Linked DNA regions of Danio rerio. Each later gene encodes a partner of the first gene's protein in a complex. Links are inferred from orthologs where the notes say so. Each region holds a gene or a part of one and is shown on either strand. Other genes may lie near its edges.

Evidence for each region. Proteins that work in one complex are often made in the same cells at the same time.
Region 2: timm21 (region 1) and smim20 share a complex: the UniProt entries of both Homo sapiens proteins name them as parts of the MITRAC (mitochondrial translation regulation assembly intermediate of cytochrome c oxidase complex) complex. The link is inferred for Danio rerio from reciprocal best matches to the Homo sapiens genes TIMM21 and SMIM20.

Annotation. Positions count from the first base shown.
Region 1 is NC_133199.1:17,613,994-17,621,222, forward strand, and holds the end of timm21 (mitochondrial import inner membrane translocase subunit Tim21), read left to right. Parts: intron 1-1,613; coding exon 1,614-1,676; intron 1,677-3,058; coding exon 3,059-3,156; intron 3,157-5,272; coding exon 5,273-5,346; intron 5,347-5,432; coding exon 5,433-5,538; intron 5,539-5,618; coding exon 5,619-5,711; 3' UTR 5,712-6,036; downstream 6,037-7,229. UniProt on the Homo sapiens protein: Participates in the translocation of transit peptide-containing proteins across the mitochondrial inner membrane.
Region 2 is NC_133182.1:65,049,420-65,058,281, forward strand, and holds smim20 (small integral membrane protein 20), read left to right. Parts: upstream 1-2,878; 5' UTR 2,879-2,935; coding exon 2,936-3,044; intron 3,045-6,106; coding exon 6,107-6,163; intron 6,164-8,403; coding exon 8,404-8,444; 3' UTR 8,445-8,742; downstream 8,743-8,862.

The DNA of each region.
Region 1 (7,229 bases):
TTATCATTATTTTAAGACCATTTTGACACTATAATAGCATCGTAATGCAAGTACACCCCTCCAAAGAACACAATATTTTATTCTTAAGAATATTTAATTATAGTCATTTTAACAATTTAATAATTAGGTATTGTAATTTCATAGAAAACGTATATCCTAAACAAATAAATAATAATATTAATACTATATACTAATACTATAATAATTAATAGTAAATACTATAGTGTTTTTTTTAACCATACTAACACTGACAGATTATAAACGTAATCAGCTACAATGTGGCTAGAACTAGAATAGTTTTTCATGTATGGGCGATATATGTTGCATCACCAAAAATGATTGAAAACATGTCTGTGTGTTGTACGATAAGTCAATATATTGATTATTGTGACAGGCCGAACAGCAGATGTTTTAACCTCCTCTGTAGAGGGTTTCTTATTCGAGCATTTACTACATTATGATGGAGTGGACAACAATTTTAAGGACCAATGCAAAATGGTTAATAATGTTATGAAAACAAAATAAACGTTATCAAAATGACATATTTTAACAAATAACTTGTTTAAGACTTAACTTGTTTTTTTTTTTAATCTTTTCAATTTTATCTAATTTACCTACTTTTTAGATTCACTGAAGTTGGCTGTGTAGTGTGTGGGACATGGAAAAATCACATTCATTCAGTAAAAGAATATTGGAAAATTTGACAGACATATTTCAAAACACTTCTAATTCTACCCGCTTGTGTGTAAAGGTTTTACCAATTATATTAAAACATCAGAAGTTCATTATTTCGCATTAAGTTCATATAGGACTGATTCAATCATGTGAGACATCAAAGGCACTTTATAGTGATAATAGCCCAAATACATTGTAAACATACAATATACAAAAGGTGTAACAGGGAGAAATGTGTTAACATTTTATGAAGAATGCTATGTAACTGACAATTTTATATCTGTAATGTACTTCAGCAGTAAAAACAAACAAACAACAAAAAAAACATTATTTTTCTGTTATTGTAACTTTGTTCAATTTTTAAAGGGTACTTCCAAAAATTGAAATTATGTCATGATTTACTCACTTAGACTTGTTCTAAATGAGTTAACCTTTTTTTTCCATAAAAGAAGAAGAAATGAAGAAAAGAAGAATGTTGGAAACATTGACTCATTTTTATAATTAGTTAGTAAATGCAGTTAATGTATTACTAAATGCTCAATCTAAATGGTTTATTTGAATCAGAATTTGTTGACCCAATAACAGATGCAATCAGATTGGTCCAGTTTAAAAATGAATAATTCGGTACGATTTGGTACAATGTTTTGGACTCAAATGTAGTAGTAGTGGTAATTAAAAGTAAACATTTTCTAAAATAAAAAAAAAAACTTTAATAAAGTACTGATAGTGAAGTAAACAGTACAGTTTTGATTAAAAAAAATACAAAAGGACTGCCCATCATTGTTAGTTGAGGATTGTTACAAAACAAAATCACAAATAAATCTAGCCATTGTGATTTTATAGGCATTACAAAATTGCAGTAAAATAATATTTGTAAAAATTTACTTGTAGATTGAATTGTAGCTGTTCAGTAAATAAATGTCTCCTTTCCTCAACAGTTAAACAAGCTGGCAAAGATTTCACCTATTTGATCGTAGTGCTCATTGGACTCGGTGTAACAGGTAACCAGGTCTGGATTGACGACTCTTATGTTTCAGGGCCCCATTCTCTGTTCTTACTGTGCCAGAAAACCAACAGAAAGCACCAACATGCATTTCCTAATGATGATAACAGGATGATGTCTAAATAGTGATATTAGTTATATTTTATTCACTTTGGATTTTGTATCAGCAAAATGTTCATTATTGCTAACATAGTAATTAATTTTAGCAACATGCAGGTCATGAGTTTAGACATTCTAGGAATGCTAACCATTTTTGTTATGCTGACAAAATGCTAACTCATTTGCATTAAAACATGCTAATAACAGTATATGTTATGAATATGCTAAAACATACATGTGGCTATGTAGTAAATGGTCATTCGTTCTAGTAATGCTTGCAATGGTTTAAACATGTTAAGAAATTTGCAATGTATTGCTTAAAGACAAAATTATCTGTTTACATATATTATGTAATAACCAAATACTATTTAATAAAAATGCAACAAAATTACTAAAATTAACAACTACTTCATTATAGTTTATTATTGTTCAGTAGTTTTTTTTTTTTTAATGATTTTAGTAATTTTGTGTATGATATTTTTCCACGCACATAGTGATCTTAACAACTTTGAACTCATTCATTAATTTTCTTGTCGGCTTAGTCCCTTTATTAATCTGTGGTCGCCACAGCGGAATGAACCGCCAACTTATCCAGCAAGTTTTTACACAGCGGATGCCCTTCCAGCCGCAACCCATCTCTGGGAAACATCCACACACACTCATACACTACGGACAATTTAGCCTACCCAATTCACCTGTACCGCATGTCTTTGGACTGTGGGGGAAACCAGAGCACCCGGAGGAAACCTACACAAAGGCAGGGAGAACATGCAAACTCCACAAAGAAACGCCAACTGAGCCGAGGTTCGAACCAGCGACCTTCTAGCTGTGAGGCTACAACACTTCCTACTGCGCCATATAACATATAAATAAACAAGTATTTATATTTCATTTCAGCTCCAAAGTCTTTTTTTTTGTTAACGATAACACTGACTCAAATACAATACATGAGACAGACATTATAATCATACAAATCAGTTAAATTCATATGTATTTATATAGCACTTTTTACTATATATATATATATATATATATATATATATATATATATATATATATATATATATATATATATATATATATATATATATATTGTGTCAATACAGCTAGCCATAGTCATAACATGATAAAGCCATCACTTTGCAAAACTGTGGAACCTTTTAGCAATTCAGGCAGGCAGGCAGGTTATAATCATTTCTATGCATATTTTTTTTAATTTGTATATACATATTATTCAGCAGTATAATAAGTGAACCGATTAATGTTTTCTAATCGCTTTAGGTGGCCTGCTGTATGTGGTCTTTCAAGAACTCTTTTCCTCTTCAAGCCCAAGCAAAATCTATGGAAAAGCTTTCGAGAGGTGCAGATCTCATCCAGAGGTCAGTGATTCATTAGCTATATATATCACATATGTGTAAACCTAATGTCTGAAATGCATGAATAAATCAGCCTGTTGACTACAACTTGTGATCTAATCATATTGAGCTAATCATATTCATCTGTAACATATGTTCATAGTTTTTCTACTGTAGTGTGCATACAGTACATCTTTTACCTCATTTAAACATTATAATATGTCTATGTTGAGAGGTAAGCATGATAGAACACCCAATAAAGGGGGAGAGCATGCTCAGAGCCTGGCGGCTAATCAGCAGGCCAAAAACTAGAATAAACAGGTGTTGCTTATTATTTCTGATTGGCCTGCTGATTAGCCGCCGGGCTCTGAGCATGCTCTCCCCCTTTATTGGGTGTTCGATCATGCTTACCTCTCCACAGTCTATATTAAGTAAACCTATAAATTACAGTGCATCCAGAAAGTATTCATAGCGCTTTCCTTTTTCACACATTTTTTTACAGCCTTATTCCGAAGTGAATAAAATTTATTTATTTCCTCAATTCTACACACAATACCCCATAATGACACTGTGAAAAAAAGAGTTTTTGAAATTGTTTAAAATGTATTAAAAATAAAATACCTGAAAAATCACATGAAAATAAGTATTGACAGCCTTTGCCATAAAGCTCTAAATTGAGCTCAGGTATATTCTGTTTCCACTGATCATTCATGAGGTGTTTCAGCAGCTTAATTGGAGTTCACCTGTGGTAAATTCAGTTGATTGGGCATGATTTGAATTTGAAAAGGCATACACCTGTCTATATAAGGTCTCAGGGTTGACAGTGCATGTCAAAACACAAACCAAGCATGAAGACAAAGGAATTGTTTGTAGACCTCAGAGACAGGATTGTCTCCAGACTCGGGAGGGTTGCAGAAAAAAATTCTGCTGCTCTGAAAGTTCCAATGAGCACAGTGGCCTCCATCATGCGTAAGTAGAAGATGTTTAGAATCACCAGGACTCTTCCTAGAGCTGGCCAGCCATCTAAGCTGAGTGATCGGGTGGAAGAGCCTTAGTCAGGGAGGGGATCAGTAACCCGATAGTCACTCTGTCTGAGCTTCAGCGTTCTTCTGTGGAGAGAGGAGAACTTTACAGAAGGACAACCATCTGTGTAGCAAGTAGATCTGTGTATGGTAGATTGGCCAGATGGAAGCCCATCTGGAATTTGCCAAAAGGCATCTGAAGGACTCTCAGAGCATAAGAAACAAAATTCTCTGGTCTGATGAGACATAAATTGAACTCTTTGGAGTGAATGCCATGCGTTACGTTTGGAGAAAACCATGTACTGCTCATCTCCAGGCTAATACCATACCATGTTTTTCAGCCGCAGAAACTGGAAGAATAGTTAGGATAGAGGGAAAGATGAATGCAGCAATGTACAGAGACATCCTGAATGAAAACCTGCTTCAGAGTGCTCTTGACCTCAGACTTGGGCAATGGTTCATCTTCCAGCAGGGTAATGACCCAAAACACACTGCCAAAATATGGAGTGGCTTTACAACAACTCTGTGAATGTTCTTGAGTGGTCCAGCCAGAGCCCAGACTTAAATCCTATTGAACCTTATGGAGAGATCTGAAAATGGCTGTACACCGTTTCTTCCTTTTTAACTTGATAGAGCTTGAGAGGTAGTGCTAGAGGAATGGGCAAAAAATCCCAAAGACCTGTGCCAAGCTTGTGGCGTCATATTCAAAAAGACTTGAGGCTGTAATTGCTGCTAAAGGTGCATAAAAAAGGATTGAACAAAGGCTGTGAATACTTATGTTTATGTGATTTTTCAGGTTTTTTTACTTTTAATAAATTTGCAACAATTTCAAAAACTCTTTTTTGCACATTGTCATTATGGGGTATTGAGTGTAGAATTTTGAGGAAATAAGTGAATTCAATCCATTTTGGAATAAGGCTGTAACATAAAAAAATTTGGAAAAAGTGAAGCGCTATGAATATTTTCCGGATGCATGCACATTTAACTTGAGTATGTTTGCACTCTGGTTAAATGTTAACTGCATTTCGTTACCCTATACTCAACATGTGTATTGACAATAAATAAAATACGTTTAATCGATGTTGATGGTGACTCTATGCTAACCTATATTTGCTAAGGTAATTGGAGCTTTTGGAGAGCCTATTAAAGGCTTTGGGGAAACTAGTAGACGTGGCAGAAGGCAACAAGTCAGGTAAAATACATAATATCAGTAAACTCAAACTCTTCTGTGAGATCTCATATCTCAATTATTACATATTTGTTTTTTTTTTTCTTTAGTCATTTGGAGTACATGAAGGATGGACTCAAGTACATGCGGCTGAAATTCTACATTGAGGGATCTGAACCAGGATTGCGAGGAACTGTTCATTCAGAATCAAAGGAGGTATGATGTAATATCACAAAAAGAAAATAAGTTTGTTTCATGCAAAGATGTGTTTTTTTACAGTTTTTCCTTTGTGACAGAATCCTGAGACAGGGAAGTATGAATTTCGGTATATTTTTGTGGAGATAGACACATATCCGAGGAGAACAATCGTCATTGAAGACAACAGATGAAACGAGTTTTGTAACGGTGTTAAATGCATATTGATGATTTTCAGTAGCAGACAGTGTTTTTCTTCTGATTGCTGAATTTATACTGGTGTTCTAATTAATCAAGCTTGGATTTGTCATGCTTGAATTTTGATGTGTCGCAAGATTGCGTTAATAACTGTGTATCTAGAAATTTTGACAAAGTCAAATATTGTGCATTTTGTACAAGGATTTATATGTTTGTTTTTGTGGAATTAGTGGTTTGCAATAAATATTATATAGGAAAGCATTTTAATCCATGCAATTTGAAATACAGATTAATAAAGCTATTTGATGCCATTATTGAAAATTGACTGTTGTCCTTTTAAAGTGATAGAAAAATTCATCCAATCTAAGCTTTTTAATTTTTTCTGTTTACTTTTATTTGTAAAAAATGTTTAAACATCACTTACTACTGTTTTTAGCAGAGCATTTTTTAAACTAATGCCAAAAACCAAGTGTGCCGCAAGCCTACGTTTGAGTGAAGGTTTCGGCCGTTAGATCGCCCCCTGGGGGCTGGCTGCAGTACAAGTCATAAAGCCCGCCTCCTCCGTGTTAATGAAGGAGACTTGAGCCCAAATAAAAAAAAATATTACACTTGCAATAAAATGTCCCGAAAGATAGTTCTGGTCGATTAAGGCACTGGTTATTGTGCTGAAATAGGTGCAGATCTTCATTTTTGTAAACAGTTTGTTTTTAGCAGTAATTTAATGCTGGGCGTGTCATCGTGATTGACAGCTGTGATTGACAGTTTCTCAAAGCGCGGCGTTTGAGCTTCGGCAGGAGACTGAAGTAGACTGAAATGTTATTATTCGATTTCTGTGTTATTTTACCATGACAAAATGAGTTCAGCAGTAAACTATAGTTTCTGACATACATGATCCTGGTGGAACACTGTTTATTCGCTAAGTTCAGGGCTTTTTTCGGGCTTTATTAGTTTGCTGATACACGCCTAGCCACCCAGATAGCAAAACACAGTTCCGGCTAGATTCTCGCCTGCCGGAGACTTATCTCTTAGAGCTCAGACTGACTAATGTTACCTCTGCTGGACCTACTCCGGATGCCTGGACTCACTGCCCGATTCCAGTCCGAGTCAATCGAGCCAGATGCGGCGGCCGAGCGAGCCGGTGCTGCCGCATGCGAGCCGGAATCAGCCCGCGACGCCGCGAGTAAGTTATGCGCTGCGGCCTGGAGCTGGCGCGATTGAATATATAAAACCCTCATATTTGTTAACGTTATTACATCCATTTGTGTTGATATGACAGCAAACGCATGCTGAGAAGTTCGGGGGGCGTAGTTGATTTTACATAAAGCGTTTGATTGGAAGCTCGACTCTGCTCATTTTCGCGGCTCCTCCTCTGGCTCCATCAGACAATCCTTCTGCGCATGTCTGGCTCCAATTTCAGCAGTCTTTTGCGACAGTTTGTGCCCGTCAAGCAGGCGTTTTGCCCTCAAGGCATTCAATGGGAAAAAGGGCTGTCGCGTCGTCCATATTTTTTACAG
Region 2 (8,862 bases), on another chromosome or scaffold:
AGTTTAAAGCATTTTTGTAGTGCACAAAAAAGTTTCATAAAGATTATTTTTATTAAATTATTTGGTGAAGACTATACAGTGCAATTTTACGTTTGATTATTCAATTTCTGTACCTGAATACTGTTGCTCACTCCAGAAAACTATAAAGCATTGTTTATTTCACTTTAATATTAGCTCAGTTGTGTTTATTTATGACTGTATTTTTTGTATATAATAGATTACAAATATATATATATATATATATATATATATATATATATATATATATATATATATATATATATATATATATATATATATATATATATATATATACATGTTTATCACTCCCCTACAAAATCATACCAAGTAATGACTTTGCAAATAGAGCTATTTAAGTCATCTGGTGAAATAAGATCACAATATATATGGCAGAGAATTTTTTTTACAATGTTTCCAATATCATGCAGCCCTAATCAGAAGTGTGTCATTTTTAAAAGCAAAACAACATTTTTTTATTTTATAATTTTCTGTATGTAAGCCCACCGGTCCTACACCGCCCAACCCACTCAGAGCTGGGATCGAACCAGCGACCTCCCGCATGGGAGTCGGTTGCTCTAACAAGGAGGCTAAAAAACATGGCCTCTAGCGTCTGTCGCTAGAGCACCTTTAGAGGTCAGAGGAGTGAGGTTTACCTGCACAGCACAACACACACTAGCTGGCCTCCGTTACACTCACCCCCAAACCTCAATCCCATACGGGTCACGGCACCAACGTAACCCAGAGGTCAGAGGAGTGAGGTCAGGAGTGAGGTTTACCTGCACAGCACTCACTAGCTGGCCTCCGATACATGTATACATCCTGTTCAAAAGTATTTTATATTTCTAAACTAAGCCTCTTACGCTTAGCGATTACTCAATCAAAAATACAGTAAAAAGTTATACAGTGCTGTCAGATATTGTTAAAATTTAAAATAGCTGTTTTCAGTTTTAATAATATACTTATAACGTTTCCCAGCATGGTACTAGATTGTGGCTGGATAAAACCATATGTGTAGTTGAAAAACGATTACCGTTTTGAAGGTATACCGCCGTTTGGAAGAGGCAAGGTCCTATACAAACATTTATTTACATTTTTTAAATTTTAGGTCAACAGTGTCTCCAGCAGAAAAGATATTAAAAGATGTTGTTTAAAATTGTAATGAATCTGTGTGTTAGAAACACATGAAGACAGCAGAAGTCAAAGATTCAGTTGAATTATTTAGCTTGACATGTTTACTGCTCCAAAATACTTTAAATGTTTCTCAAAATAAAAGATATTGTGTTCAAAGAGAAAAAAAGTTTTAGTATTTTACCCAGACAATAAAAAAAAGAATATATTTTACAGCAGCAATCAACTGTAATACTGCTATCCAAAGTTATCATACCATCAGAATCTTACACCAGCCCATGGCTAGGTGGTTTATTCCACTGTGGCGACCGGCCCTGATAAATCAGAAACTAAGCTGAAGGAAAATGAATGAATGATACGAATAATTGTGAAAATATCATTTATTTCGGTAAAAATTGAGAAAATGTTGAAAATTTATTCCTCATTTTTTTCTTATTATATTTTGGAAAATATTCTTATGATTAATATTTCTGTGGAAACTATAATTTAGGGAATAAAAGCAGTCATTTAAAATAACTAATTCTTTATACAATACATACATTGTTCATTTGAACCAATATAATGCACTTTTGCCGAATAAAATCACCAAATATTTTCTTAATTTGGATTTTAATTTGCTACATACACCTTTTTAAACCATTGATTCTAAATTAATGTTGGTTTAAACGTTATCTTCATTTTAACGCAGTTATTTATGCCTTTGTGTTTCTAAATGTAACCTACATTCTCTAAGTAAACAGCAACGCTCAGCTCTAATGCACTGGCACAGTCTGGCAGTGATGGATACCAATAAATAAGTAATAAAGCTTCACATAAAAAGAACGGAACTCAATTTATGACGTTAGAGAATTATAAAAACATAGTTTTCACACAAAATGTGTTAACAGTGCTTGACTCTTCTGTGGAGCACAAAAGGCAGAATGACTCTCAGTGTTCATTCAGTTTCATTGTTTGTTAAAAGAAGTAAATGGTAACGATGTCAAAACAGTTCCACGGATAGAAGGGAACATACAGTTTGATAACAACAAGAAGAATGCGAGTAAATCATTTCATTTTAATTTTGGATATACCGTTACTATTGCTTTAACGCTCATTAGTGGAGTGTTTTAGATCCGTCACTGTCAGGAAATGATAGCCTTTTAGTTTCGTCTCAGATGAAAGTGAATGATAGTGTGCTTAATATACCAACGTACGGTACAGCTAAACAACTCTGTAAACTACGAACCAAACGGCTTAGTATACGACAAAAACAAATGTAAAGCCGGTGTGAGACACAACAGGAGGAAGCTGGAGCTGGAGTACCTTGGGTTTGGTACCCACACCCGCGCGGTCCGGTCTCTGGACACCGACACGAACGCTCCGTCCGGGAAGGCGACAGCGGCAAGACCCCGGACATCCATGTCGTGCGCCGGGAGAGAAGAGCGCAGTCTGTATGAGTTACTGCCGGACATTTTTACAGCTGAGAGACGGCGATCACTACACACACTGACACAGCAACACTACACACATACACAATGCATGACGGGACAACACCGGGCAAAATAAAAGCCGCACTATCAATTATAACACTGACATGATCATATGAAATACTTCTATTTTTATGAGTACAATATCATACTTCTGTAAATATTCATTAACATTATAATAACCCTAATTTTGCGCTTGAAGTATGCATAATATATTTTAGTTAAGAACAGACTTTAAACTTTTTATTTCTAACGTGAACTTCACCCCGGAACAACTTGAGTGTGTTTGCGTCCTCGAGTGAGGTGAAACTGTCAAAATCATGTCCAGTTCTAAGAGGATAACGCTCATATTTGGAGGCTTCGTTGCAGCTGTTGCTGCAGCTTTTTATCCTATATTTTTTCATCCTCTCACACACTCTGAAGACTACAGTAAGTGTTTAATATCACTACTACACATGAAGTCACCGTGACACAGCCTAAACTTAACTTATGTCATAACGTCACATTCGATTACCCTGCATTTTGTAACTTATTAATCGTATTGGAATAATATATTTGGTGACATAGATTGGGATTAACGTTAGGCATGGGAAAATAACTGTTAACGGTTTTCAAGGTATAGCGCGGTTTGCAAAAGTTAAGATTTTAAAATTGTCAACATTTTCTTATATAACTTACCGTTTCTAAGGTATGTGTACGATTTTTTATTTACATTTCTTTTTTATGACAACAGTATCTCCAGCAGAAACGATATCCAACGATGTCATTTTAAATGGTTAAAAAGTTAGTGTTTTTAAATCAATTGAAGACCACATAAGTCAATGATTCATTTGAATTATTTAGCCTCACATGTTAACTGTTCTAAACAATTTTAACTGTTTCTCCAAATAAAATATATTGTGTTTAAAGTGGGGGAAAATGTTTTATTTTTACCCAGATATTTAAAAAAAAATACATTTTAGATCAGTAATCACAATACCATATACAGTATTACCGTAGAACCGTGAAACTGTCATATTTTATTCAAGGTTATCATACTGTCAGAATCTTATCTTATAAATTTATTTTCATCTAATAAAGCTGTTAAAGTCTCAATCAAAATAATTCATAATTGCCATCCAATAAATACCAAAACTAGCTAAATATAATAACAATATTTTCCCTTTATGCATTTTGTACTCAATATAATGAAACACTAAATAATTTATTTTGGGAGTGCACTTCCTGTCAAGTGTTTTGGGTTGACTTTTTCGATTTCATTAAAAAAAATCTTATTTCCAAATTTCTGTATTTCCCCAAAATGTTTTTCTTTGGTTACTTTCTGAATGTAGATCCTTCTCTTTGTAAATTTATTATTAATTTATTGCTTTTTTTGGCTAAATTTTACATTCATAAATGTAAATAAAAAAAAAAACATCCTTACTTTTTATTTTCAGAAAGGACTATTATATTACATGTAAAACTCTTTTAAACTTGTTTATTTTGCTGGAATTTTAGTCATGTAACCCTTTTTGTTTCTTTGTTCATACTGTATCTTTGTATTGTTCTTTCTTGTATGATAAAAAAGAACTTTAAAAATACATTTAAAAAACGTATTATTGGGATAATCAGGTTGAACAGTCGTTATAATCTGATGTAAATTATAGAAATAATATTTCAGTGTTTTAAGGAATGTACACATATTATGATGCTGATTTTATTCTACGTTGAATTACATACAATGCAGAGCTCTCTTGAATGAGACATGTTGTATGTATATTAGGTTAGGTTACTTATACCCAAAGGTAGATTTGGTTTGCAGTCAAGAGTCCTCATTTCATAGCAGTGCCACACTAAAAAACTCACATAGTGACAACAACAAATAGACATAAAACATAAACGTACAAAACGTACACTCTTTAAAAAAAAAAAAAAAAAGAATAAATAAATAATTATTTCAAGAGCCAAAATCACTCTGGACCCCTCACACCCAGCACACTGCCTCTTTGAATTTTTACCTTCTGGTCGACGCTACCGAGCACTGTGCACCAGAACAGCCCAACACAATAACAGATTCTTCCCTCAGGCAATCCATCTCATAATTATGAAAAGAAAAAACATCACTACTTGCTATAGCTATACACTTTTAATCCACATATACACTTATTTAGCAACATACTTTACATGCCAATTTACACATAACAGCTGCACATATAACGTATATAATAATACACATGTACACACACTTGTCAATTTGTATATTTGCATTCACTTTCTACTTCTATTTTTAAAATACATTTTTTTATCTGTTTTTTTGTCCTGTCTTTGTAATTCTGTTGCACTGTAGAAAGCTCTGTCAGGAAAGCACGTGTGAACACACCTGGCAGTAAAGCTTTTTCTGATTCTGATATACAAGTATCGTTTACTTCTACAGCTTGTTACAAGAAACCAACGACTAGATGGAAGGAGCTGAAACTCTGAGTGTAGGGGATTTTTATTATGTGTTAAGTTAACTTAATTGATTTGTGTTGGGAATTGCGTGGATTCCAGCATTTTGCATTTTTTTACAGTGCAGTTTTTCAGTGTATCTGCGGAGTCTTAAAAAGTCTTAAATTTCTAAAACAAAATTGAAGGCCTTAAAAAGTCATATTCACTGGAATATTGTGTTGTAGGTCTTAAATCATTTTAAACTGATCTTAATTTTCCTCTGTCCAATTAAAGCTACACAATCGGGCAAACATCCATCCAATCACCAACAATCCATCTTAATAAAATCAAGGAAAGAGAACTAAAAACCATTACACAGTTCCTCATGATAATAACAGAGTAATATATCCCTTTCCTTTCCCAGGGATGGGTTGCAGCTGGAAGGTCATCCACTGCGTGAAACAGGTGCTGGATAAGTTGGTGGTTGATTTCGCTGTGGAGATCCCAGATAATAAAAAGACTGAGCCGAAAGAAAATGAATGAATATATCCCTTAACATTATCTTCCATTCATACAAAAACTCTTTACAGAAGTAAGGGGGAGTAGACATAATATTTATAAATAGGCATTAAACTTAAAGTTTTTATGAACAGAAACACATTAGGTTGAATAGAAGTTAATACTCAATCAATTTAGACCAAAGGCCAACAAATATATAGTTTGGTTATTTATGGAATTGCCTCCACAATAAATATACTTTTAACAATGTTAAACTTGTCATTAAAAATAAATAAATATTATGTTGAAAATAGTGAATACAACTAGAGTCTTCCTGTTTTAACACAGTAAAGTGTGTCGCTAAGAAATAATTACAAGCAAAAACAAAAATCTATTATCCCAACTGGGCCATTAGAAATCATCATTAGTGTTTAGCGCTGTATAAGTCTTAAGTTTCATTCGTAATGGTTTTAAAGGGCCCTTTAAAAGTCTTAAATTTGACTTGATGACACCTGCAGAAACCCTGAATTAAAATTCTTTGTATTCTTCTTTTTTTGGTGTCTGAATTTTTCTCTCTCTTGATACAGAGCAAGTGCAGAAGGTGAACCGGGCTGGAGTCAATCAAGCAGACATACAGCCTGTTGGTAAGACATTCATAAACACTCTTTATTTCATATTTTTTATTGCATTAGGGGCTTCGCAATATATCATTTCCATATCGATATTGCAATGTGTGAATCAGCAATAGTCACATCACTGCATCTCAAGCCATTTCAATTGAATTTCAACCACTTGAACGCAAAATTACAATGTTTATAACAGGCATGTCCAAACTCGGTCCTGAAGGGCCGGTGTCCTGCAAAGTTTAGTTCCAACCCCAATCAGACACACCTGGGCTAGCTAATCAAGCTCTTAAGCTGCGGTCACACTGGACTTTTCTTCCCATAGTCTTCCATTCATACGCACGCGAATGCATCAGACCGGAAACGCAGGGTCATGCGTTAAGTTTCGCAGTTCGCTGCGGTGCAGTTCTAGCTTAGTGAATTCTGACCTGCAAAATTGCATCACTTGTCTGTGTGAAACCAATCGAGAAACAAAACATGACCTCTCTGGACAGAAATTTAAAACATGGAGAAATCGCTCGCTTTTTTTAATGTCTAATAATCTTGTTTAGTCCCACCCCCTTTTCGCAGTGCCGTACGACAGAATTTCACACATACAAACGTTGCGTCCGAAACCGCCTACTACTCAATAGGTACTGCATTTGAACTTAAACGTACTACTCGGTCGTTAGTAAAGTATGTTTTATACAGTATGAATGTGAAAAGTATGAATGGAATTCAAACATACTACATCCGCCATTTTGACCCAGTCACGTGAAGTACCTGTGTCATTTGCGTTGCTTTAATCCCATTCATGAATTCGCTCGCGGGGCATCATGGGATAGCGCAGCATGCATACGATTCGCACTCCAGAATCTCGCCGGAAGTAGTAAGTCATCCGGGTACTTCTCGCATACTGCTCTTCGAATTCTATGAATTCACACATACTACTCGGCTCGCATACTGATTTTAGCATACTGTATAGTATGGAAGTATGCGGTTTCGGACTCAGAGTGACCGCAGCTTTACTAGGCTTTCTAGAAACATCATGCAGGTGTGTTGAAGCAAGTTGAAGCTAAAATCTGCAGGATACCGGCCCTCCAGGACCAAGTTTGGACACCCCTGATTTGCCACTTTATCAATCATTAGTTGTATAATTATTTATATTTATGCAATGGTTTATTTTTCATTTGATTATTGATATTGTGTACCTCAATACTGTTAGACTTGACTGAAAACCATAAAGCACTGTTTATGTAATTTTATCTCAGTTCTATTGTTTTCGTTTAATTTTTTTTTCGTATACTTTTTTAAAAATAATTTAGAAAATGTTATGCTAATGCACCCCCCGACAAAATCATCCGAATCAATGTAAAATGACGACTTCTTTCCAAATAGAGCAAGAAAAATATTGTAATGTCAGTTTTTTTCCAATATCGTGGACTTGTATTGCATTGTTAGTGTGAGGGTGCAAACTTGCACATTACACTTCACTTTAGATTAGATTAGATTCAACTTTATTATCATTACAAATGTAGACTACAGAGCAATGAAATGCAGGTAGGCATCTAACCAGAATGCAAATATAAGCAGTAAGTGCAGCAAAGACCAATAATACATACAGATGGTACAATATAGAGATAGCATTATGGATATGAATAAGGTGGGTTGACACAAGCATGGAAAGATATAATATATATTTGTATAAAATATACATGGATGTTTTACTATGGGCAAAGTATACAGTTTAAATTAGGCAATAGATGTATGTACACTATAGCAGTAAAACTATGAACATATTTTAAAGATGGATAAGATTTTTTCCATTCACTCTTGTCAATTGGTGAAGTATGTTCCTCCACTGTTGCCACTAGCTTGCTTGGTTTGGGACCTGTGGAACTGCGCATCAATGAATTTGCTCTTCAGTGTTTGGACTTTCAGCAGTGAAAATGAAACCCCAATGAACTGAACTAAACTGAACTTCAGCTCTGAAAACTGGACTGACACAGTTTCAGTTTACTAGAACTTCTATGTTAAGCTTCTTTGACACAATCTACATTGTAAAAGCGCTATAGAAAGAAACATGAATTGAATTGATTAGATCTAAAATTGTGTAAAGTTGCATGTAATCTGTGATGTGAAGCTATAAGTAGCTTTATTAAGGATCCTAAATTACTAGTTCTGCATACACAGTTAATTTGCATTAGGCCCTATATGAATGATTTTTCAAACACACAGGTTCATTCTATGACTCACAATCATTTATGTGTCTTTTATATTAGGTGTGAAGGTCTGGTCTGATCCCTACAAGCCCAAATCATGACTCCTGTGATTAACTTATGGATGAAAAGGACGAATGCGTCCCTCATGGAGGACTGAGTATTCGAGACACACTGACAAAACTCTTTGCTACCATGCATCAAATAAGACCTTATGTATGGGTGAATATTCCTTACTTGTGGGAATGATTAATGAGAACGACTTGTCAACAAACTAAAAATGTAAAGCATTTAAAAAATATGATAATTGACTTTTTGTTTGTACTCATTCAGGTTTATTTATGGAGTAACTTTGTTTTGCCGTTATTGTTCTGAATAAAATCAAATCTTAAACTGTTGTAATTGTTTTGCAAGTATATGATCACTAGATGGCGCTCAGTCCATCTTGTATGCTACGAGATTCTGCTTATATACTGAAGCACACTGGGAAAGAAAAACATTAGATCAACTTAAATTGCTTCA